Linked DNA regions of Anolis sagrei. The protein of the gene in region 3 purifies or fractionates together with the protein of the main gene of each other region. This does not show direct contact. Links are inferred from orthologs where the notes say so. Each region holds a gene or a part of one and is shown on either strand. Other genes may lie near its edges.

Evidence for each region.
Region 1: the proteins of WWC1 (region 3) and PTPN14 purify together in Homo sapiens (affinity purification with mass spectrometry; 7 studies listed by BioGRID and IntAct, counting the BioPlex papers as one, with this or other methods). This does not show direct contact. The link is inferred for Anolis sagrei from reciprocal best matches to the Homo sapiens genes WWC1 and PTPN14.
Region 2: the proteins of WWC1 (region 3) and AMOT purify together in Homo sapiens (affinity purification with mass spectrometry; 3 studies listed by BioGRID and IntAct, with this or other methods). This does not show direct contact. The link is inferred for Anolis sagrei from reciprocal best matches to the Homo sapiens genes WWC1 and AMOT.

The regions. Positions count from the first base shown.
Region 1 is NC_090021.1:33,747,847-33,755,638, reverse strand, and holds the start of PTPN14 (tyrosine-protein phosphatase non-receptor type 14), read left to right. Parts: upstream 1-4,736; 5' UTR 4,737-5,986; intron 5,987-7,792. UniProt on the Homo sapiens protein: Protein tyrosine phosphatase which may play a role in the regulation of lymphangiogenesis, cell-cell adhesion, cell-matrix adhesion, cell migration, cell growth and also regulates TGF-beta gene expression, thereby modulating epithelial-mesenchymal transition.
Region 2 is NC_090030.1:33,526,104-33,534,012, forward strand, and holds the start of AMOT (angiomotin), read right to left. Parts: upstream 3,100-7,909; 5' UTR 2,865-3,099; intron 1-2,864.
Region 3 is NC_090022.1:105,773,516-105,781,459, reverse strand, and holds the start of WWC1 (protein KIBRA), read left to right. Parts: upstream 1-4,862; 5' UTR 4,863-5,107; coding exon 5,108-5,226; intron 5,227-7,944. UniProt on the Homo sapiens protein: Regulator of the Hippo signaling pathway, also known as the Salvador-Warts-Hippo (SWH) pathway.

The DNA.
Region 1 (7,792 bases), on a different chromosome or scaffold from region 3:
GAAGTTGCTTGAAAGGAAAGCCCTACAATTTGTAATTCTATCATCTTACATTCAGTACTGTAATGCTTTAATAGGATTTGCTTCTGCGTAATTATGCCTACCTTAAAGTTGTAATCTTCAACTTTATTCTTATCGTCGAAGGCTTTCATGGCCTGAATCACTGGGTTGCTGTAGGGTTTTTTGTCTGTATGGCCATATTTTAGAGGCATTCTCTCCTGATGTTTCGCCTGCATCTGTGACAGGCATCCTCAGATGTTGTGAGGACCTCACAACTTCTGAGGATGCCTGCCACAGATGCAGGTGAAACGTCAGGATGGAATGCTTCTAGAACATGGCCACACAGCCTGAAAAACCTACAACAACTCAGTGATTCTTATAATTCACATTTCCAAAGAATTTTTGTAAGTTATGGCTACAGTTCTAACTACCATTTACCCTGAAAATTCCATTAACCTCAATAGACTGACTTCTAAGTAGATCTTACAGCACTGCACTGCATATCTCTTGAGTCGTAAATTTAGTCCTGCTGTGCATACACATGTAAATGCAAGTGTGGGGATGCTAAAGTGTCAAATATATTTTGAACACGTGGCATCCTATGTTACAATAGCATTTTCCAAGTTTATCTTTCACAACAAATACCATTGTGTTTGGCTTTTAAGTGAGCAGAGTACAGGTTCCTGTAAAACAAATAAATATAGCGCACAACTGGCAAAACAGAACCTTCAACAATGAGTATGTGTGGGCAACTCACTATCAGAGATGTGTGCTGAGAGCCTATCCCTGTTTTAATCTATGAAAATGTTGGCAAACATGCAGTGATTGTTCCACACTACCGTCATCCTGCATTATCCAATTTCCACAGACTAGGATACAGACTAGGGCCAGGGAATGACTTTGTTGCAGGGCTCTACTGATTTTGTGAAATCAATTTTTCCATCTTTCTCTCTTTTCAGGAAGATTTCCTGTGCAGTGCTGGCACAGTAGAGGGGGAAAAACATTTTCCTAGCAACAAAATACTGTTGTTCAGAGTGTTGGAAATGAGTTGGCTCCTTGCATTAGAACAGTGTTTCTCAACCTTCCTAATGCCGTACCCCTTAATATAGTTCTTCATGTTGTGGTGAACCCCAACCATAAAATTATTTTGGTTGCTACTTCATAATTGCAACTTTACTATTCATATGAATCGTAATGTAAATATGTGTTATGCAGGATGTACTTTCATTCACTGGACCAAATTTGGCACAAATACCCCATACGCCCACATTTGAATACTGGTGGGGTTGGGGGGATTGATTTTGTCATTAGGGAGTTGTAATTGCTGGGATTTATAGTTCACCTACAATCAAAGAGCATTCTGAACTCCACCAATGATGGAAATGAACCAAACTTGGCATACAGAACTCCCATGACCAACAGAAAATACTGGAAGGGTTTGGTGGGCTTGATCTTGGGTTTCAGAGTTGTAGTTCAGCTACATCCAAAGAGCACTGTGGACACAAACAATGATGGATCTGGACTAAGCTTGGCACAAATACTCAATATGCTCAAATATGAAGTTTGGGGAAAATAGACCTTGACATTTGGAAGCTGTAGTTGCTGAGATTTATAGTTCACCTACAATCAAAGAGCATTCTGAACTCCACCAACAATACAATTGGGTCAAACTTCCCACACAGAATCCCCATGACCAACAGAAAATATTGGAGGGATTTGGGAGAAATTGATAGTGATATAGGGGAGAGCATGCCTTATTTAAACAACCAACTATTAAAAATGTAAGGGTCTTTGACAAGGATGGTCAACTATATGGCTGGAATTTGTGTTTTTGTCTCTAGACCCCTGCAAAACTACTAAAAAAGAAAATGTGTATCCATTTATTATTTACTGACATTAAACAAAATGGGATGTGTGTGCCTGTAACATTTTAAAATGTTGTTGCTTCTCCTGGGACACATAATGGAGCAGAGAGAAAAAGGGTGGTTTGGGGAGTCTGGAGGACTCACTGCAAAGGAGGTAAGGACTATACTTCATAGACCAGGGACACTAGAGGAGAGTTTTCAAGGGAAGACTCTTGTTAGTGTGTTGTAACATAAGACTAATATGAGGAAATGATCTAGCAACACTTTGGAGAGTGATATTCCATCATAAACTTTCATGAATTCCAGATTGCTAATCATCTGCATCTGCTGGGCCCATATACAGGTGTATAGTTACCAGGAGATGAAGGCAAAATAGGAGTTCTGCCCTTTATGATTTTCCTTCATTGTGTGCATTTCTAGCATTGCAGAAAATGACACTAAAATGCACTCACAACTAGGACTCTAGAATTTGCTGTCTGCATTCCCTTGACAACTTTGCCTATATGGTCCTTGTATATGTTCGGGTTTAAAATCCAAGGATGCTCCTAGTCCCATTATATGTAATGGCATAGTAAAATTGTACCCCTTATATAAAATGCTCAAATAAAGTGGGTTGTATGACCATGTTCCAGATGTATTCTCTCCTGATGTTTCACTCACATCTACGACAGGCATCCTCAGAGATTGTGAGGTCTGTGGAAACTAGGCAAATGGGGTTTATATATCCATGGAATGTCCATGGTAGGAGAAAGAACTCTTGTCTGTTTAAGGCAATTGTGAATATGTATTGTTGAAGGCTTTCATGGCCAGAATCACTGGGTTGTTGTAGGTTTTTTTGGGCTATATGGCCATGTTCTGGAGGCATTCTCTCCTGATGTTTCACCTGCATCTATGGCAAGCATCTTCAGAGGTAGTGAGGTGATCCTCACTACCTCTGAGGATGCTTGCCATAGATGCATGTGAAATGTCAAAAGAGAATGCCTCTAGAACATGGCCATATAGCCCGAAAAAAACCTACAACAACCCAGTAATTGTGAATGTTGCAATTGGCCACCTTGATTAGCATTGAATAGGCTTGCAGCTTCAAAGCCTTGCTGCTTCCTGCCTGGGGGAATGCTTTGTTGGGAAGTGTTAGCTGATGCTGATTGTTTCCTGTCTGGAATTCCCCTGTATTCTGAGTGTCGAAACATGGCCATACAGTCCAAAAAACTCTCAGCAACCCAGTGATTCCAGCCATGAAAGCCTTCTATAACATGCTAAAATAAAGGTTTGCTTTCTGGAATTCTGGGAATGAAAAGTTTTCAAGCTGTAAATTGTTGAATCCATGGATACAGAAGGCCCATAATATCTTATTTTGGATGCCTAAACTATTTCTATATGCTTAATTTTGAAATTACTACATTGCTAGAATTTATGAGACTGGAGGAGTATTTCATAAGGGAGGGAGAATTATTATATGGAAGGTAATGTTTGCACTTGAACCTCTACATCCTTGCTCAACATCTAATAAAATAAATGGAAGTCCATGAAAACTTATGATGAAAGCTGAGTTTCAGAAATGCCACTCTGATCTGGATGGTCCTAAATGTATTCAAGCTCAATTGCTACAATGAAATGTGTTGTCAAAGACTTTCATGGCTGGAATCACTGGGTTGCTTTGAGTTTTTTGGCCTGTATAGCCATGTTCCAGAAACATTCTCTCCTTACGTTTCACCCACATCTATGGCAGGCATCTTCATACATTGCGAGGACTGTTGGAAACTAAGCAAGTGAGGTTTATATATCTGTGGAATGTCTAGGGTGGGAGAAACAACTTTTAAAACTCGGTTTTACTTCTACGTAAGTAAGGCAGGGCAACAAAACTTGATAAATCTCTCTAACCCAGTGTTTCTCAACCTGGGGGTTGGGACCCCTGGGGGGGTTGTGAGGGGGCGTCAGAGGTGTTGCCAAAGACCATCAGAAAACATAATATTTTCTGTTGGTCATAGGGGTTTCGTGTGGGAAGTTTGGCCCAATTCTCTCCTTGGTGGAGAGAATTGGGCCAAACTCTCCTTGGTGGGATTCAGAATGCTCTTTGGTTGTAGATATACTATAAATCCCAGCAACTACAACTCCAAAATATCAAGTTGATTTCAGTCAAACTCCACCAGTGTTCACATTTGGGCATATTGAATATTAGTGCCAAGTTTGGTTCAGATCCATCATTATTTGAGTCCACAGTGTGCTCTGGATGTAGGTGAACTACAACTCCCAAACTCAAGGTCAATGTCCAGTATCCTCTGTTGGGCATGGGAGTTGTGTGTGCCAAATTTGGTTCAATTCCACCTTTGATGGAGTTCAGAATGCTCTTTGATTGTAGGTGAACTATAAATCCCAGCAACTACAACTCCCAAAAGACAAAATCAACCCCCCCCCCCCGCCCAAACCCTACCAGAATTCAAATTTGGGTGTATTGGGTATTTGTGCAAAATTTGGTCCAGTGAATGAAAATGCATTCTGCATATCAGATATTTACATTACGATTCCAAACAGTAGCAAAATGACAGTTATGAAGTAGCAAGGAAAATAATTTTATGGTTGGGGTTCACAACATGAGGAACTGTATTAAGGGGTCGCGGCATTAAGAAGGTTGAGAACCAAAGGGGCTAAAGTTGGAGAAAGGAGAAGAGAAAGTTGGTGAAAGAGGAGAGCTGGGGCAAAGAAATCGTGCAAGCAAGCCAGCCAGCCACTCCAGGCCTTTGCGCAAAAGGCTGGTCGGAAAGATTTCCCCCGGCTGGCTCTCCGCCCCTTCCTCCAAATGGGTTTCCCCGCCCTTCACGGAGGGCGGGAAACCCCCTTCCTATGGGGCGCCTTCCTCCATCTTCCTCTCCAACTGAAATCCCCAAAAACACAAACCAACCCAGAAGTAGCTCCTCCTTCCCTGATACCTCCGGGCTCTCCCTCTCCTCTGCGCGCAGTCAAGGGGAACCTCCCCAAAGCCTCTATTCCTTGCCCCCCAACCCTTTCCCCGGCTTGGTCCTCCCTTCCCTACTGAGAACTGCCTCGCTAGTCCCTCCTCTCCGTGTAAAACGGAGTCACTCCGGCGCGCCTCCTCGTCTTCTTCCAACTTCTCTCCAAGCTGTGCGTCAGGCTCGCCACTAGAGTTGCGCTCCAGCAAGTACAGAAAGAAAGAAAGAGGGAAAGGAGCTCTCGGGCATTTGGATTCCTAGTTGGTCCCGAGTTCCTTCCCTCCTCCTCCCCTTCTTCCCCTTGGCATTTGGGGGAGGCTTGGCCCGCCTTGGAACAGAGTCAAACTCCGAAAGGCATCCTGGATTTGGGCTCCTTTTGGAGCGCCCCTTCTTTGAGTCGCCTGTGCGTAAAAATACGGAGAGAGAAAGCAAGCAAGCAAGCAAGAGAGAAGTGCTCCCTCCAGGCAAGTCCCCGCCGCCTCCTGCCCTGCAGTGGCTGCTCCGCATTCTTGGCATTCCTGGGCTGTGACTCCGAGGTCGGCGACGGCAAGGAGGCAGGCGGGAGGGCTCTTGCTTCTCCAAGCAGCAGCTCCACGCAGGACCGGGGCCGAGGAAGAGCCACGCGGGAGGGAGGGAGGGAGGGAGGGAGGGAGGACCCACACGCTCTGGACGCCTGCCTTTCTCCATCTAGGCACCAATCCCCTCCTCTCTGCTTGGCTCTCTCCTCCCTCCAGGCTCCCGAACTTCTTCCCTCCTCCAGCACCCTCCCTTCCTGAAGCTCAAACTTCCTACAAACTTTCCTTTGGAGAGCCTTGCGTGTTGCTTCTTCGGGAGGGGGAAAAGAAAGAAAGAAGAGCCCCCCTTTTTTGCTGCTGACTCCTTAGCACCCCAATATCACTCAGTCCTCTTCATTCCCCACCATCCTCCTTTTCTCCCCTTCCTCTTTCTCCCCTTTCCTTCCTAATTTTGGCAAATTCTGTCGGCTCCAACTTGCCCTGTCCCCTTGTTTGGATTCCTTGGCTAAAGCGGAAGCCTCCTTCATCCATCACCGGTGAATCTTGCGGATTTAAAAAAAAGAAATCAAGGCCTAGAGGAAGGAAAGGAGGAGATCTTTGAGAACTATACCTTGAGGAGACGCAGCTGCCTCGAAGGGGTCCCAAACTCATGTGAAAGCAGGTAAGCCTGAGATGCAACAGTTGGGATGCTTGAGTGAGTTGGCTTGGACTTTTTGAGTTTGGAGTTGGTGTAAGCATTAGTAAGGCTCCTCTCTGGTCAGTAAACTTCGTACAACTTCGCTCTGCAGTGTGAGTGTTTTGAGGTTGTTATTGTTTTGCTTTTGATTTAAAAAAAAATGCAAAACCTATAATACAGGAAGAATGCACACAAACCCAGAGCCCTCTGAACTCAGTACTGTTATCGTTCTGTTCTGTATGGTATTGTTTTATGATATGTTTTATTGTGATATGTTTTATTTGATTTTGTTTTGATGCTATCTTATTGTGTTATGTTTTTAACTTTGTACTCCCTGGGCTTGTCCCTTTATAAGCTGCCCCAAGTCCCTTGGGGAGATGGAGGTGGGATATAAAAATAAAGTTGTTGTTGTTGTTATTATTATTATTATTAGTTTAGGTACAGTTTGGGAGTTTCTGGGTTTGAAGTTGATATAAGCCAAGACTAGAGCATGAATCCACTTTAAATCTGGTTTCTGCCTTCAGCAGAATTCTGGGGTTTGCAGTTTAGTTGAAGGTTCCCCCCTAAACTATAATCCCCAGAATTCTGCAGGAGGCAGCAACCGGATTTAAATTGAATTCATTCTCTAGTTTGATGAGTTCTTCAGTAATCTTGGCAGAACTTCTCTGTGAGGTGTGTGGTTTTGGGGTTATTTTGATTTGCATTTTTAAAAAATACAGGAACAGGGCCAGCTATTTATTTATTTACAGTATTTATATACCACTTTTTTTACCCCTGGGGGGACACAAAGTGGTTTCCATAGAAATAGTGACAAAATTCAATGCCTTACCCTAAATCACAATCAACACCATATAACTGAGCATAAAATCAATAAGACAATTCATCATAAGATATAAGGACATTTAAAACATGAAATATAATACTTAAAACGCCTAATAAAAACATAATGCAAGTATGTAGACCATACTCATCATCCCAACAAAGGAATCCCCCAGACAGGAAGCAGCCAAGCCTTGAAGCTGCAAGGCTTTTCAATGCTAATCAAGGTGATCGATTGCAGCATTCACACCTACCTCCAACAGACAAGAGTTCTTTCTCCCACCCTGGGCATTCCACAGATATATAAACCTCACTCGTTCTAATTCCAACAGACCTCACAATCTCTGAGGATGCCTGCCATAGATGTGGGTGAAACGTCAGGAGAGAATTCTTCTGGTACATGGCCATACAGCCCAGAAAACTCACAGCAACCAGTGATTCCTGGCTATGAAAGCCTTCGACAACACATAGTTCGTGTGCAGTTGGGCAGTTTTTGAGTCTCTTTGTGTAAACAAGGTTCTCTGGTCAGTAAACTTGGCACAACACCCCCGGAGGTGTGTGTGTGTTTTGGGATTTTTGTTTTTGCAATTTGAAAAGCACAGGAACAGTTTATGTCCAGTTTGGAAGTTTCTGACTCAGGCGTTGGTGTAAGTAAGGCTCTTTGGTCAATTATCTTGGCACAGCTCTGTTCTGAGGTTTGTGTTTTTGGACTAACTTGCTTTTGCATTTTTGAAAAAAATACAAAACGTATAATGCAGGAACAGTTAATGGGCGGTTTTGGAGACTTATGCCCATCCCTCACTGCCTGAAAATTGTATTTCAGATCTGCTCAGTTAAATGGAAAGGTTGAGCATGCAAAAGGAGTTCTGAAAATAAGTGACCCTTTGAAAGCATTAGCCTCACATGACTTTCCCTTTTTCAACTTGTCCTGTTGCAATGGCATGGGGTGCCTTGAAAAACTTTACTAAACTT
Region 2 (7,909 bases), on a different chromosome or scaffold from region 3:
ATTCCAAATTCCACCAACGATTGAATTGAACCAAACTTGCCACAGTTTGGTTCTGTGTGCCAAGTTTGGTTCATTTCCACCGTTGGTGGGGTTCAGAATGCTCTTTGATTGTAGGTGAACTATAAATCCCAGCAACTACAACTCCCAAATGACAAAATCAATTTTTTGAGTGAAGGACATACATTGGGTTGTTAGGTGTCTTGTGTCCAAATTTGGTGGCAATTCCTCCGGTGGTTTTTGAGTTCTGTGAATACCACAAACGAACATTACATTTTTATTTATATAGATTGTATTGATGTGTTCTGTTATATTGTTTTATATTGTTGCTGGGCTTGGCCTCATGTAAGCTGCCCCAAGTCCCTGTGGGAAGATGGTGGTGGGGTCATAGAAATATAATAATAATAACATAGAATAATATAAATAATAAATATATAATAATAATACATTTATTTATTTATATACCGCTTTTCTCAGCCCTTAGGTGACTCAAAGTGGTTAACAGCAGCAAAATTCAATGCTAAACATTACAAAACAATTAAATTAAAACAATAGCATAACAACAATTAAACATCAATATAACAAATCAATCGCGTCCCATCACTAGAATCAGAATCCAATCTCATTGTCCGTTATTCCACGTTCCTATATTCAATTACACTGCTTAATTGAATGCTTGTTCAAACAACCAGGTCTTCACTTTCCTCCGAAATGCCAATAAGGAGGGGTCCGATCTTATATCTGTAGGAAGGGCGTTCCACAGCCGAGGGGCCACCACTGAGAAGGCCCTCACTCTTATCCCACCAGGCGTGCCTGTGATGCAGGCGGGACTGAGAGCAGGACCTCCCCAGATGATCTTAATGTCCTAGTTGGTTCATAGGAGGAGATGCGTTCGGACAGGTAAAATAATAATAATAATAATAATAATAATAGAATAATAATAGAATCTATATAAATAAAAATGTAGTGCTAGTTTGCGGGACGAACATAACTCAAAAACCACTGGACGAATTGACACCAAATTTGGACACAAGACACCGATCAGGCCAACGAGTGACCATCACTCATAAAAATACTGGAGAACACAGCAGAAGAGACTTAAATAAAGCTTTATTATAAAGCCAAATCCGAGACCACTCCTGCTAGCTCAGATAAGGAGACTGTTGTGCAGCGGGGTGGTCGGTACACTAACAGAATCCCTATCCTGTCCCGGTCACCTATCCTAAAGCCGGCACACTCAAAGGAAGATGACTGTGGGATGGGGCACCTGATCAGGGGGATAAAATCCTTATAGACCACTGCGACTCCACCTCCCCTCCCTCCAGGCCTTGGTTGGTGCTGCACAGAGTCTTAAATAAAGCTTTATTATTATTATTATTATTATTATTATTAATATTTACTCTCTTGACCTTTCACCCGCATCTATAGCAGGCATCCTCAGAGGTTGTGAGGTCTGTTGGAAACTAGGACAAAGTGGGCGACTAAAATGATCAAGGGTCTGGAGAACACACCCTATGAGGAGCGGCTTAAGGGCATGTTTAGCCTGAAGAAGAGAAGGCTGAGAGGAGATATGATAGCCATGTATAAATATGTGAGAGGAAGCCACAGGGAGGAGGGAGCAAGCTTGTTTTCTGCTTCCCTGGAGAGTAGGACGCGAAACAATGGCTTCAAACTACAAGAGAGGAGATTCCATCTGAACATGAGGAAGAACTTCCTGACTGTGAGAGCCGTTCAGCAGTGGAAATACTCAAGGCGCAATTGCAAACTGTGCCAACAAAGAGAAAAAATAGGACAAGTGCAAAGAAGCCAGAATGGATGTCCAAAGAACTTCTAACTGCAACAGCAAAAACAGCAGAGAGGAAACAGGCAGGGACATCTAATTACCTTTCGAGAAGAGTTTGCTCCAGGCATAGTCAGCCCATTGTATGCTAATCAAGGTGGTCAGTTGAAATATTCACACCTAGCCCAACTGACAAAAGTCCTTTGTCTCACCCTGGTTATTCCACAGATATATAAACCCTTTCCCCCAGTTCCAACAGACCTCACCTCTGAGGATGCTTGCCATAGATGCAGGCGAAACGTCAGGAGAAATGCCTCTAGAACATGGCCATATAGCCCGAAGAAACCCACAAGAACTTAACTTCTAACTGTGCTAAAACACAAAAGAGACATGCACAAGAAGTGGAAAAAGGGAGAAATCACCAAAGAAGAATTCAAACAAATAGCCAACACCTGTAGGGAACTCTCTGCCTCGGAGTGTGGTGGAGGCTCCTTCTTTGGAGGCTTTTTAAACAGAGGCTGGATGGCCATCTGTCTGGGGTGATTTGAATGCAATATTCCTGCTTCTTGGCAGAATGGGGTTGGACTGGATGACCCAGGAGGTCTCTTCCAACTCTTTGATTCTATGATATATCTGTGAAACCCCCTTTTCCTAGTTCCCAACAGACCTCACAACCTCTGAGAATGCCTGCCATAGATATGGGTGAAACGTCAGGGGAGAGTGCTTCTGGAACAGGGCCAGACAGCCGAGAAAATTCACAACAACCATGAAAAACTTCAACAACACATTGGATAGAATGTTTCAATAGATCTGTTTGGGGGAAACAATATATCTCTCTAATGGATAGATGTTGCTCCTTTTTTATATTTTGTATCCCACAGAAGAACAAGGGGAACTCTCCGCCAAGTTCCTGGGAAAGTGGAGGAAGTTCCTTCCCCCCCCCCCCCCCCCCACTCTGGATCTCGCGTGGTTTGCATGCAAAGAGAGGTCCAGGAGAGGGACAAAGGGAGGTTGGAAAGGGCGGAAACAGTTCCCAGGGGGGTGGAAAGCAAGCCCCCTTCCAAGCCCCCCCCCTCTCAATCCCTACCTTTTGGGGTCCTTCCAAGGCAGAGAGAGAAGGCTTCGAAGGTCAAGGAGAAGGGAGGGTCCATTTCTGAGTCCAGGGGGGAGGAAGGAAGGGAGGGAAGGGAAGGGAGGAAGAGGCAACTGAAGAGGAGGAAGAGGAGGAGGAGAAAGAGGAAGAGGAGGGGAGGAGGAAGAGGAGGAGGAGGAGCCCGCCTAGACCCCCCCCCTCTGCTTCTTGATTTCCCTTCACGCCCCTTGAAAGGGCGCCAGGAAAGGAGGGAAAGGAAGGAAGAAGAGAAAGAGGAGGAGGAAGAAGAGGGGGGTCCTGCCTTGCCTCCCTCTACTGTTTCCCTTCTCTTTGTCCCTCTTGAGCTCAGCCAGGAAGGAAGTGAAGAAGAGGAGGAGGAGGAAGAAGAAGAAGTGGAGGAGGAGGAGGAAGTGGAGGAGGAGGAGGATCCTGCCTTGCTTCTCTCTGCTTCTTCCCTTCTCTTTGCTTCCCTTGAACTCAGCCAGGGAGAGAAGGAAGAGAAGGAGGAGGAAGAAGAGGGGGATCCTGCCTTGCCTCCCTCTACTGTTTCCCTTCTCTTTGTCCCTCTTGAGCTCAGCCAGGAAGGAAGTGAAGAAGAGGAGGAGGAGGAAGAAGAAGAAGTGGAGGAGGAGGAGGAAGTGGAGGAGGAGGAGGATCCTGCCTTGCTTCTCTCTGCTTCTTCCCTTCTCTTTGCTTCCCTTGAACTCAGCCAGGGAGAGAAGGAAGAGAAGGAGGAGGAAGAAGAGGGGGATCCTGCCTTGCCTCCCTCTACTGTTTCCCTTCTCTTTGTCCCTCTTGAGTTCAGCCAGGAAAGAAGTGAAGAAGAAGAGGAGGAGGAAGAAGTGGAGGAGGAGGTTGCTTCTCTCTGCTTCTTCTCTTCTCTTTGCTTCCCTTGAACTCAGCCAGGAAAGAAGTGAAGAGGAGGAGGAGGAGGAGGAGGAAGTGGAGGAGGAGAATCCTGCCTTGCTTCCCTCTTCTTCTTCTTTTCCCTTTGCTTCCCTTCGCCAGGAAAGAAGAGAAGGAGGAGGAGGATCCTGCCTTGCTTCCTTCTTCCCTTTCCTTTGCTTCCCTAGAGCTCAGCCAGAAAACAGGAAAAGAAGGGAGGAAAAGAAGGAGGAGAAAGAGGAGGAGGAACCCAATTTGCTTCCCTCTGCTTCTTCTTTTCCCTTTGCTTCTCTTCGCCAGGAAAGAAGAGAAGGAGGAAGAGGATCCTGCCTTGCTTCCCTCTGCTTCTTCCCTTCTCTTTGCTTCCCTTGAAGAGAAGGAGGAGGAAGAAGAGGGGGATCCTGCCTTGCCTCCCTCTACTGTTTCCCTTCTCTTTGTTCCTCTCGTGCTCAGCCAGGAAAGAAGTGAAGAAGAAGTGGAGGAGGAGGATCCTGTCTTGCTTCCCCCTGCTTCTTCCCTTCCCTTTCCTTCCCTTGAACTCAGCCAGGAAAGAAGTGAAGAAGAGGAGGAGGAGGAAGAAGTGGAGGAGGAGGATCCTGCCTTGCTTCCCTCTGCTTCTTCTTTTCTCTTTGCTTCCCTTGAGCTCAGCCAGGAAAAGAGGGAGAGAAGGGAGGAAGAGGAGGAGAAGAGGAGGAGGTTCCCGCCTTGCTCCTTCTTCCCTTTCTTTGCTTCTCTTGAACTCAGCCAGAAGAGAGGGAGAGAAGGGAGGAAGAGGAGGAGGAAGAGAAGGATCCTGTCTTGCCTGTCTCTACTGTTTCCCTTCTCTTTGTCCCTCTTGAGTTCAGCCAGGGAAGAAATGAAGAAGAGGAGGAGGAAGAAGAAGTGGGGGTGGAGGAGGAGGAGGAGGAGGAGGAAGTGGTGGAGGAGGATCCTGCTTTGCCTGTCTCTACTTTTTCCCTTCTCTTTGTCTCTCTTGAGTTCAGCCAGGAAAGAAGTGAAGAAGAAGAGGAGGAAGAAGTGGTGGTGGTGGAGGAGGAGGAAGAGGAAGTGGAGGAGGAGGATCCTGCCTTGCTTCCCTCTGCTTCTTCCCTTCTCTTTGCTTCCCTTGAACTCAACCAGGGAGAGAAGGAAGAGAAGGAGGAGGAGTATCCTGCCTTGCTTCTTTCTTCCCTTTCCTTTGCTTCCCTAGAGCTCAGCCAGAAAAGAGGGAAAGAAGGGAGGAAGAAGAGGAGGAGGAAGAAGAAGAAGTGGAGGAGGAGGATCCTGCCTTGCTTCCCTCTGCTTCTTCCCTTCTCTTTGCTTCCCTTGAACACAACCAGGGAGAGAAGGAGGAGGAAGAGGAGGAGGATCCTGCCTTGCTTCCTTCTTCCCTTTTCTTTGCTTCCCTAGAGATCAGCAAGAAAAGAGGGAAAGAAGGGAGGAAGAGAAGGAGGAGGAACCCAACTTGCTTCCCTCTGCTTCTTCTTTTCCCTTTGCTTCCCTTCACCAGGAAAGAAGAGAAGGAGAAGGAGGATCCTGCCTTGCTTCCCTCTGCTTCTTCCCTTCTCTTTGCTTCTCTTAAGCTCAGCCAGGAAAAGAGAGAAAGAAGGGAGGAAAAGGAGGAGGAACCCACCTTGCTTCCCTCTATGCAGATACCCTCACTGATTGACTTTGCAGCTGCAAGGTGATTCAGTGCTCTTCAAACTGAGTAATTACAACATTCACACTTGATTCAAACAGACAAGGGTTCTTTCTTCCACCCTGGACATCATTCCGCAGAGGGTTTCTCTGGGCAACAACATCCAGGCCACCTTTATGCAGATACCCTCACTGATTGACTTTGCAGCTGCAAGGCGATTCAATGCTATTCAAACTGACTAATTACAACATTCACACTTGATTCAAACAGACAAGGGTTCTTTCTCCCACCCTGGACATCATTCAACAGAGGGTTCCTCCGGGCCAGAACAGCCAGCCTACCTCTATGCATATACCCTCACTGGTTGACTTTGCAGCTGCAAGGCGATTGAGTGCTATTCAAACTGACTAATTACAAAATTCACACTTGATTCAAACAGATAAGGGTTTTTTCTCCCACCCTGGACATCATTCCACAGAGAGTTCCTCCAGGCAACAACATCCAGCCCACCTCTATGCAGATACCCTCACTGATTGACTTTTTCGCTGCAAGGCTACTCAATGCTTTTCCAACTGACTAATTACAAAATTCACACTTGATTCAAACAGACAAGGGTTCTTTCTCCCACCCTGGACATCATTCCACAGAGAGTTCCTCTGGGCAACAACAGCTAGCCTACATCTCTGCAGATACCCTCACTGATTGACTTTGCAGCTGCAAGGCGATTGGGTTTTAAAGTTGTGAGTTGCCTTGGATCTCAACCGTGGGGGGAAAAAGTGGGGGCATTGCTATTGTTATGGCATTGAGCCGTTGTCGTTGTTGTTTTGGGTTCACCGAGAGTCTGCTGAAATTGCCGTGGTTATAATCATAATAATTATGAAAAAATATGAAAAATGTGGTGAAAATGCTCTTGTCGCCCTCTCGTGGTGCTTTGTTGCTATTGCAGATGTAGGTGGAAGGCATTGAGGGTCACCCTCAGGTGGCAAGTGACTCCTAGTTAAGAACGGGGATGGAATGGGCAGGAAAGGGTTAAATGAGAGGTAGTGGGTGGGGTTGTGCAAATTGGGAGAGAGAAAGGAACCCTGGGATGTCAATTCTGGAGAGAGAAAGAACAGGACATCTAGGATGAAATGGTCCCTGAATGAAAGTGGTTGTAGGTCTTTCGGGCTATATGGCTATGGTCTAGAGGCATTCTCTCCTGACGTTTCGCCTGCATCTATGGCAAGCATCCTCAGAGGTAGTGAGGTCTGTTGGAAGTAGGAAAATGGGTTTATATATCTGTGGAATGACCGGGGTGGGACAAAGGACTCTTGTCTGCTGGAGCTAGGTGTGAATGTTTCAGCTGACCACCTTCATTAGCATTTGATGGCCTGACAGTGCCTGGGGAAAAAGGGAATGAAAGGGAAGGGAAGGAAAGGAGGAAGGAAGGAAGGAAGGAATTAAAGAAGGGAGGAAGAAAAGAGGGAGGGAAGGAAGGAATGAGAGAAAGAAAGAGGGAAGGAAAGGAGGAAGGAAGGAAGGAAAGGATTCAAAAAGGAAAGGAGGAAAGAAGGAAGGAAGGAGAGAAAGAAAGAAAGAAAAAGGAAAGGAAAGGAGGAATTAAAAAAGGAAGGGAGGGAGGAAAGAAGGAAGGAAGGAAGAAAAGAAAAGAGGGAGGAAAGGAAGGAATGAGAGAATGAAAGAAAGGGAGGGAAGGAAGGAAGGAGAGAAAGAAGGAAGGAAGGAAGAAAAGAGAGAGGGAAGGAAGGAATGAGAGGAAAGAAAGGGAAGGAAGGAAGGAAAGGAAAGGAAGGAATTAAAAAAGGGAGGGAGGAAAGAAGGAAGGAAGGAAGAGAGAGGGAAGGAAGGAATGAGAGGAAAGAAAGGGAAGGAGAGAAAGAAGGAAGGAAGGAAAGGAAGGAAGAAAAGAGAGAGGGAAGGAAGGAATGAGAGAAAGAAAGAAAAGAAAGAAAGAGGGAAGGAAGGAATTAAAAAGGGAGGGAGGAAAGAAGGAAGGAAGGAAGGAATGAAAGAAGAGAAAAGAAGGAAAGAAAAAGGAAGGAAGGAAAGAAAGAAAAAGGAAAGGAAAGGAGGAATTAAAAAAGGAAGGGAGGGAGGAAAGAAGGAAAGAAAGCCTGGCAGTGCCTGGAGCAATCTTCTGTTGAGAGGTGATTAGATGTCCTTGTTTTTTTCCTCTCTGTTGTTGTGCTGTTGCAATTTTAGATTTTTTTAATACTGGTAGCCAGATTTTGTTCCTTTTCATGGTCTCCTCCTTTCTGTTGAAATTGTCCACCTGCTTCTTGTGGATGTCAATGGCTTCTCTGTGTAGTCTGACATGGTGGTTGTGAGAGTGGTCCAGCATTTCTGTGTTCTCCAATAATATGCTGTGTCCTTTTGTAAGAGCTTGAAGACCTGGTGGTTTCAACAAGCCTTTGAAAATGACCAGCTCTTACACATTTATCATTTATTTATATTTATTTATTTATTTAGAGCTTTGATAACCCGGTCTTCTCAACCTCCGAAGAGGGACTCAGGCCGGCTAACAGCAGGAAATTCA
Region 3 (7,944 bases):
ATCATAATAAATTGTGGCAAGTTCTTAGTGGGATGGGCATCCCAAGCCACCTTGTCTCTCTCCTGAGGAATCTGTACAAGGACCAAGTAGCAACAGTCAGAACTGACCACGGAACAACAGACTGGTTCAAGATTGGGAAAGGCGTACGGCAAGGCTGCATCCTCTCACCCAACCTTTTTAACTTGTATGCAGAACACATCATGCGATGTGCGGGGCTGGATGAATGCAAAGCTGGGGTGAAAATTGCTGGAAGAAACATTAACAACCTCAGATATGCAGATGACACCACTCTGATGGCCGAAAGTGAGGAGGAGCTGAGGAACCTTCTAATCAAGGTGAAAGAAGAAAGCGCAAAAGCCGGGTTGCAGCTAAACGTCAAAAAAACCAAGATTATGGCAACAAGAATGATTGACAACTGGGAAATAGAGGGAGAAACCGTGGAGGCCGTGACAGACTTTGTATTTCTAGGTGCAAAGATTACTGCAGATGCAGACTGTGGCCAGGAAATCAGAAGACGCTTACTTCTTGGGAGGAGAGCAATGTCCAATCTCGATAAAATAGTAAAGAGTAGAGACATCAGACTGGCAACAAAGATCCGCCTAGTCAAAGCCATGGTATTCCCTGTAGTCACCTACGGATGTGAGAGCTGGACCTTAGGGAAGGCTGAGCGAAGGAAGATCGATGCTTTTGAACTGTGGTGCTGGAGGAAAGTTCTGAGAGTGCCTTGGACTGCGAGAAGATCCAACCAGTCCATCCTCCAGGAAATAAAGCCCGACTGCTCACTGGAGGGAAAGATACTAGAGACAAAGTTGAAGTACTTTGGCCACATCATGAGGAGACAGGAAAGCCTAGAGAAGACAATTATGCTGGGGAAAGTGGAAGGCAAAAGGAAGAGGGGCCGACCAAGGGCAAGATGGATGGATGGCATCCTTGAAGTGACTGGACTGACCTTGAGAGAGCTGAGGGTGGTAACGGCCGACAGGGAGCTCTGGCGTGGGCTGGTCCATGAGGTCACGAAGAGTCGGAGACGACTGAACGAATGAACAACAACAATGGACTTGTGCTTTGGTCAGAGCTGTCGTTATTACCCAATTACTGGTATTATGATGCTTCGTATTGCACGGTTTCATCGGCATAGGCTGAAAGCATGCACAAGGTTTGCGTTGTGTTGTGGCTGGCTTTTTATAGTCACTGGTTTTGACATTTTTTTTAGACAGTGTTGCACGTATTTTGTATGCAACACTCTAGTATGGTCTAATATGAGAAGTGGTCCATGCAGGTGGCAGAAAACATGACTTAATGACACCACTGTGCGGGTTGGGGAGAGTGTAAGACATTGTAGGTGTGGTAAAGGTAAAGATTTCCCCTTGACATTAAGTCTAATCGTGTCCAACTCTGGGGGTTGGTGCTCATCTCCATTTCTAAACCGAAGAGCCAGTGTTGTTTGTAGATGCCTCCAAGGTCATGTGGCCAGCATGACTGCACAAAGAGCTGTTAACTTCCTACCAGAGTGGTACTTATTGATCTACTCACATTTGCATGTTTTCTAATTACTAGGTTCAAAGCTGGGGCTAACAGCAAGAGCTCATCCCGCTCCCTGGATTCGAACCACTGACCTTTCAGTCAGCAAGTTCAGCAGCTCAGTGGTTTAACTTGCTGCACCACTGGGGATGTAGTAGTCCCAAAATATCCTGTTCAACTCCAAGATCTGTGAAGGGAGATAGGAAAAGAGCACAGAAAAGTAGAGGTGAAGATCGAAGTATTTCCCAAACTCTGAATTCCAAACTGATGGCCAAGGTGGCTGGGATGTTGCGGAGGTGACATGTTTGGGTGCATCTACACCACAAAATGAATGCAGCTTGACACCGCTTTAACTCAAAACAATGGAATTCTGGGAGCTGCAGTTTGGTAAGGCTTCAGCACTTTTGGCCAGATAAACCTAAAGATGCACCTGGAATCCATGCAGTTTGACACTACTTTAAGAGTCACGGCTCCATGCTGTGGAATCCTGAGATTGGCAATTTGATGAGGCACCAGCACTCTTTGGCAGAGAAGGCCAAAGACCTTGTAAAACTACAACTTCCAAGATTTCCATAGCATTGAGCCATGGCAGCTAAAAGTGTTATTCCTTGGGCTTGTTTTCCCCTCCTCCCCAGGTCAATAATTAATGTATTTCTTCACCTGCTGCCAAAAGAATCCCATACCTTGTGTGACTGTGGAGCAGAACAGACAAGGAGGAATTGTTGGAGGCTACAGACAATGTCGTTGCTATTGCCCGTTTTTGGTCAAAAGATATTTAGCCACCTGCACACCTTCTATTTTTTTTTATCAGTTTTATACTAATTTATGCAATGTTTTTGATATGAAATAATAATAACCTGATGCCAAGGGTGCACCTACACTTTTGCTCTCCAGGTGTTTTGGACTTCAACTCCCACAGGATTCTGTTGGAGGCGAAAAATACAGAAAGGGACCTTCTTCCACATGTGCGAATTCCACATGTGCAAATTACAAATTGGTGCAGGTTTATTGGAAAAAAATGATTACGGAAACAAAAACAAAAAAATGATTCACAACAAAGTTTTTAAAAATCCAGGGATGTGCCTTTTAGGGTTATTCAGTCTAGAGCAGCAGGAAAGAGAATTTTGCGAGTTCAGCTTTGAGGCTGCATGCATAACGATTGCCAAAGACTGGAAAGGTGAATGGTGAAGATATCTAGCAATTTGAAACACCAAAGTCATGAAGTTTTAAGAAGAAATTGGAAGCTGGCCATAGCATATTTGACAAGCGTGATTAGTAATGGAAGTCGGGGTGGTGAGCGAACTGGAGGAGGAATGATAGGTAACTAATGTGGGTGGTGGGTTGTCTATATATGTATATGTTTGTATAGGGTTTTTTTAAAATCAGGAGTGACTTGAGAAACTGCAAGTCACTTTTGGTGTAAAATAATTGGATGTCTGCAAGGACGTTGCCAAGGGGACACCCGGATATTTTGATGTTTTACCATCCTTGTGGGAGGCTTCTCTCATGTCCCTGCATGGGGAGCTGTAGCTGACAGAAGGAGCTCATCTGCACTCTCCCTGGATTTGAACCTCCGATCTGTCAGTTTTCAGTCCTTCTGGCACAAGTGTTTAACCCAGTGTGCCACTGGGGGCTCTTTTGTATGAGTGTATTGTAGGTGTTATTGGAGGCCCCAGTGGTGCAGTGGGTTAAATCGCTGAGCTGCTAAATTTGATGACTGAAAGGTTGCAGGCTAGAATCTGGGGAGCAGCATGAGCTCCCGCTGTTAGCCCCAGCTTCTGCCAACCTAGCAGTTCAAAAACATGCAAATGTGAGATCAATAGGTACCACTTCAGTGGGAAGGTAACGGCGCTCCATTCAGTCATGCCGGCCACATGACCTTGGAGGTGTCTACGGAGAACACTGGCTCTTTGACTTAGAAATGGTGATGACCACCAACCCCCAGAGTTGGACACGACTGGAATTAATGTCAGGTAAAAACCTTTACCTATTGTTGGTGTAAAGTAATGATTAAAAAAACCCTTCCACAATTGCTAACAGAATTGTGAGTTGAAATCCAAAACACCCAGAGGATCAACCTACACCAGGGGTCCTCAAACTAAGGCCCGGGGTTCGGATAAGGCCCTCCAAGGTCACTTATCCGGCCCTTGCTCAGGGTCAACCTAAGTCTGCAACGACTTGAAAGCACACAACAACAACAACAATCCTATCTCATCAGCCAAAAGCAGACCCACGCTTTCTATTGAAATACTAATAAGTTTGTATTTGTTTAAATTGTTTTTCATTTTAATTATTGTATTGTTTTAAGATATTTTTTGCACTGCAAATAAGATATGTGCAGTGTGCATAGGAATTCATGCAAGTTTTTTTTTTCAAATTATAATCCGGCCCTCCCAACAGTTTGAGGGACTGTGACCTGGCCCTCTGTTTAAAAAGTTTGAGGACCCCCTGATCTACACCATGGAGGCTCTAGCTCTTTTGGGGAGAAATGGGTCAAGACCTTGTCGAACTGCAACTCCCAATGCAACATAACTAACATGCCATCACTTCACAGAACGCAGAAGCAACAGTAAGGTTGTTCACAAGGAAACAGCCCTCCAACTCAGGCATGGGCGAAGTTGGGCCCACCCTCCAGGTGTTTGGGACTCCAACTCCCACCATTCCTAACAGCCTAAGGCCCTTTTCTTTTCCAAGGGGCCTGAGGCTGTTAGGAATGGTGGGAGTTGGAGTCCCAAACACCTGGAGGGTGGGCCCCATGCCTGCTCCAACTCCACACCAGGTCGGACCAGGGGGGAGCTGCACCTGCTGGGGGGACCTTCCCTTTCCTTTCTGGGGCTGGACCTTCCTCAAGCAGAGGTGGCCAAGCCCGCCTCCTTTCCTTCTTCCTCTCCCTCCTCCCCTCCCCTCCCCTCTCCCTCCCTCCAGGTTGCTCTGCCCGCGAGGCCCGGGCGCGAGGCTGCTCATTCCTTCCTTCTGGGGCTTTGGCGCGAGGCGGCGCTTGCTTGCTTGCTTGCCTCCCTCCCTCCCTCTCTCTTTCTCTCTCAGCACCGCCGCGGCCGTCTTGACGGGAATAGCAGCCTCCCTCACATACTTTGGAAGGTTTTCTTTCTTTCTTTTTTTTTCTTTTTTGGGAAACAAAGTTGCGCCGAGGCGGCTCTGCTACTACCTGTATTACAGTAGCGCCGGCAGAGGAGGCGGGGAGGAGGAGGAGGAGGAGGAAGGAGCCGAGGAGTTGGAGGAGCAGCGGCATTTGGCAGACTGAGGAGGAAGGGGCGAGCAGGCCGGCGGGAAGCGCAGCCTGAGGACTGGCAGGAAGGGGCTCGTGGAGAGAGAGAGACACCTGCGGGGTTCCCGCCGGAGCCTGGCCCCTCCCCCTCCTCCTCCTGCTTGCCGAGGATGCGAGGCGCCCACTCCCGCCTTCCCGACGCGGCCCCTCGCCCCCCGCTTCTGCTGCCGGGCTGGGAGAAGGGTGGTTGCTGCTCCTCCCCCTGCTCCTGCTCCTCCTGGGCCTGCTGAGGGGGCTTTGCATGGGGCCACGGCCGCCTCGGGGCTGGGAGGGAGCTGCGCCCCGCCGCCTCCGCCTAGGATGCCGCGGCCGGGGCTGCCCTTGCCCGAGGGCTGGGAGGAAGCGCGCGACTACGACGGCAAAGTCTACTACATCGACCACGCCACCAAGAGCACCAGCTGGGTCGACCCCAGGGACAGGTGAGGAGGAGGAGGAGGAGGAGGAAGAAAGGGGCGCGCGGGAGGGGGCGGGGAGCCTTGCAGGTGCCTGGGAAGAACCTCGGCACAAAAGCCGCCTCTCCCTCGCGCGCCCGCGCGTGCTCTCTCTCTCTCGTTCTCAGAGAGCCGGACTCTCGTTTAAGCGCGACTCTCAAGCAACCGGCCAAAAGAATTCCTACCGCCTCCGCTCAGCTAGTTTTAATCATAATGTCCTTGAAAGCGCCCTACTTCATTGAGGGCAGCGGTTCTCAACCTTCCTAATACAGTTCCTCATGTTGTCGTGACCCCTCCCCCCCAACCATAAAATTATTTTCGTTGCTACTTCATAACTCTTAATTTTGCGACTGTTTCGGAATCGTAATGTTGAGTGTCTGATATGCAGGATGGATTTTCATCTCATTTTCATTTCAAATTTGGCACAAATATTCGACACACTCAAATTTGAATACTAGTGGGGTTGGTGGGGGTTGGTTTTGTCATTTGGGGGTTGCTAGAATTTATAGTTAACCTACGGAATTGAACGAAACTTGGCACACAGAACTCCCACAACCAACAGAAAGTACTGGAAGGGTATTGGAGTTGTAGTTCACCTGCATCCAGAGAACACTGTGAACTCAAACAGTGATAGATCTGGACCAAACTTGGCATGAATACTCAATATGCCCAAATGATGTTTATTGATTGTTATAATGTTATTCTTTTAACTTGTTTTTAACTGTTTTTATCATGTTTTTTGTATTGTATTTGCTTTGTTAACCGCTCTGAGTTGTCCTGAGGGCTGAGAAGAGCGGTATACAAATATAGTAAATAAATAAATAAATGTGAACACTGGTAGAGTTTGGGGAAAGTAGACAATGACACTTGGGAGTTGTAGTTCACCTGCATCCAGAGAGCACTGTGGACTCAAACAATGATAGATCTGGACTAAAATTGGCACAAATACTCAATATGCCCAAATGTGAACACTGGTGGAGTTTGGGAAAAGTAGACCTTGACAATTGGGAGTTGTAGTTGCTGGGATTTTTAGTTCACCTACAATCAAAGAGCACTCTGAACCCCACCAACAAGAGAATTGGGCCAGACTTCCCATACAGAACCCCCACAAACAACAGAAAATCCTGTGTTTTCTGATGGTCTTTGTGACCCCTCTGATACCCCCCCCTCATGACCCCCCCCCGGGGTCCCGACCCCCAGGTTGAGAAACACTGATTGGGGGAATGGGCAATTGTTGAATTAACCTTTATTTACAAAGTATGCATTCCAACTTTATTAATTGTTATCCCACTTTTCTCCCATGGATAGAATTCAAAGTGGCATACAGTTGTTATAAGCAGCAGTCATTACATAACATACAAATTCAAACTGAGGATGCCTGCCATAGATCCAGGCAAAACATCAGGAGAGAATGCTTCTGAAACATGGCCATACAGCCCAGAAAACTCACAGCAACCTAGTGATTCCAGCCATGAAAGCCTTCGACAATACATTCAATTTTTTTAAAAATCTCAAGCCAAAGAAACAAATTGCCACTACATAAACCATGCAAATGGGCCCCTTGGTGGTGCAGCCGGTTAAATCTCTGAGCTGCTGAACAAACTGACTGAAAGGTCAGCTGTTCAGATCCAGGGAGCAGGGTAAGCTCCCACTATTAGGCCCAGCTTCTGTCAACATAGCAGTTTGAAAACATACAAATGTGAGTAGATCAATAGGTACCGCTTCTGTGGGAAGGAAACAGTACTCCATGCAGTCATGCCAGCCACATGACCTTGGAGGTGTCTATGGACAACACTGGCTCTTCGGCTTAGAAATGGAGATGAGCACCACCTCCCAGAGTCGGACACGACTAGACGTAATGTCAGGGAAAACCTTTACCTTTAAACCATTTATAACTAATTAATAACTTACAACAAATGCCATTAAAATTCACTGAACCTCAGGCCACTGGGGTTATCCATAAAAAGAGTTGTACTAAAATCTTAGGAACTCCGTTTGCATCAGGCCATATAGTAGCATTGCCAAGTTTGAATAACATTCAGAGATTTATATTACCACTAGCTATCTGGTTGTTGTCTATTTTAAGTCATCAGAACAGGCTTGGTTCCACAAAAAGGTTTTAATTTATAAATTAAAGGCCAACAAGGAAGGGGCCAATCACACCTTTCAACATTTATATATATTCCATGTTTAGAGACTTTTGGGGCACCCTATACAGCAGGCATGGGCAAACCTTGGTCCTCCAGGTATTTTGGATTTCCAACTTGCACAGTTGTGGGAGTTGAGGTCCAAAACACCTGGAGGCTGAAGTTTGTCCACGACTGCTATACAGAAAAATAATGTTACCTTCAGATAAGTTTTTCTTCATTTTCTTCATTAGCTGTTTGTTACTGGCTTTCAATTTTAATATCAAGTAAATAAAGAATTTTTAGTCTGGTCTAATATGTGATATTGTATTACTTAAGCTTGCTTTTCATAGTCACCCTCAAGCAACTGGAAACCACATTTATCTGGCCTCTTCCAATCCCCATAGCTGCCAGTTAACTGAGAGGGTGCTGTGTAAAGCAGATGAGCTGGATGGCAACCCTGTTCACTTAAGGACTCAACTCACTTCTGCAGTCATTTTCAGTGTCAAGAGCAGGGGTCCTCAAACTAAGGCCCGGGGGCCGGATGCGGCCCTCCAAGGTCATTTACCCAGCCCTTGCT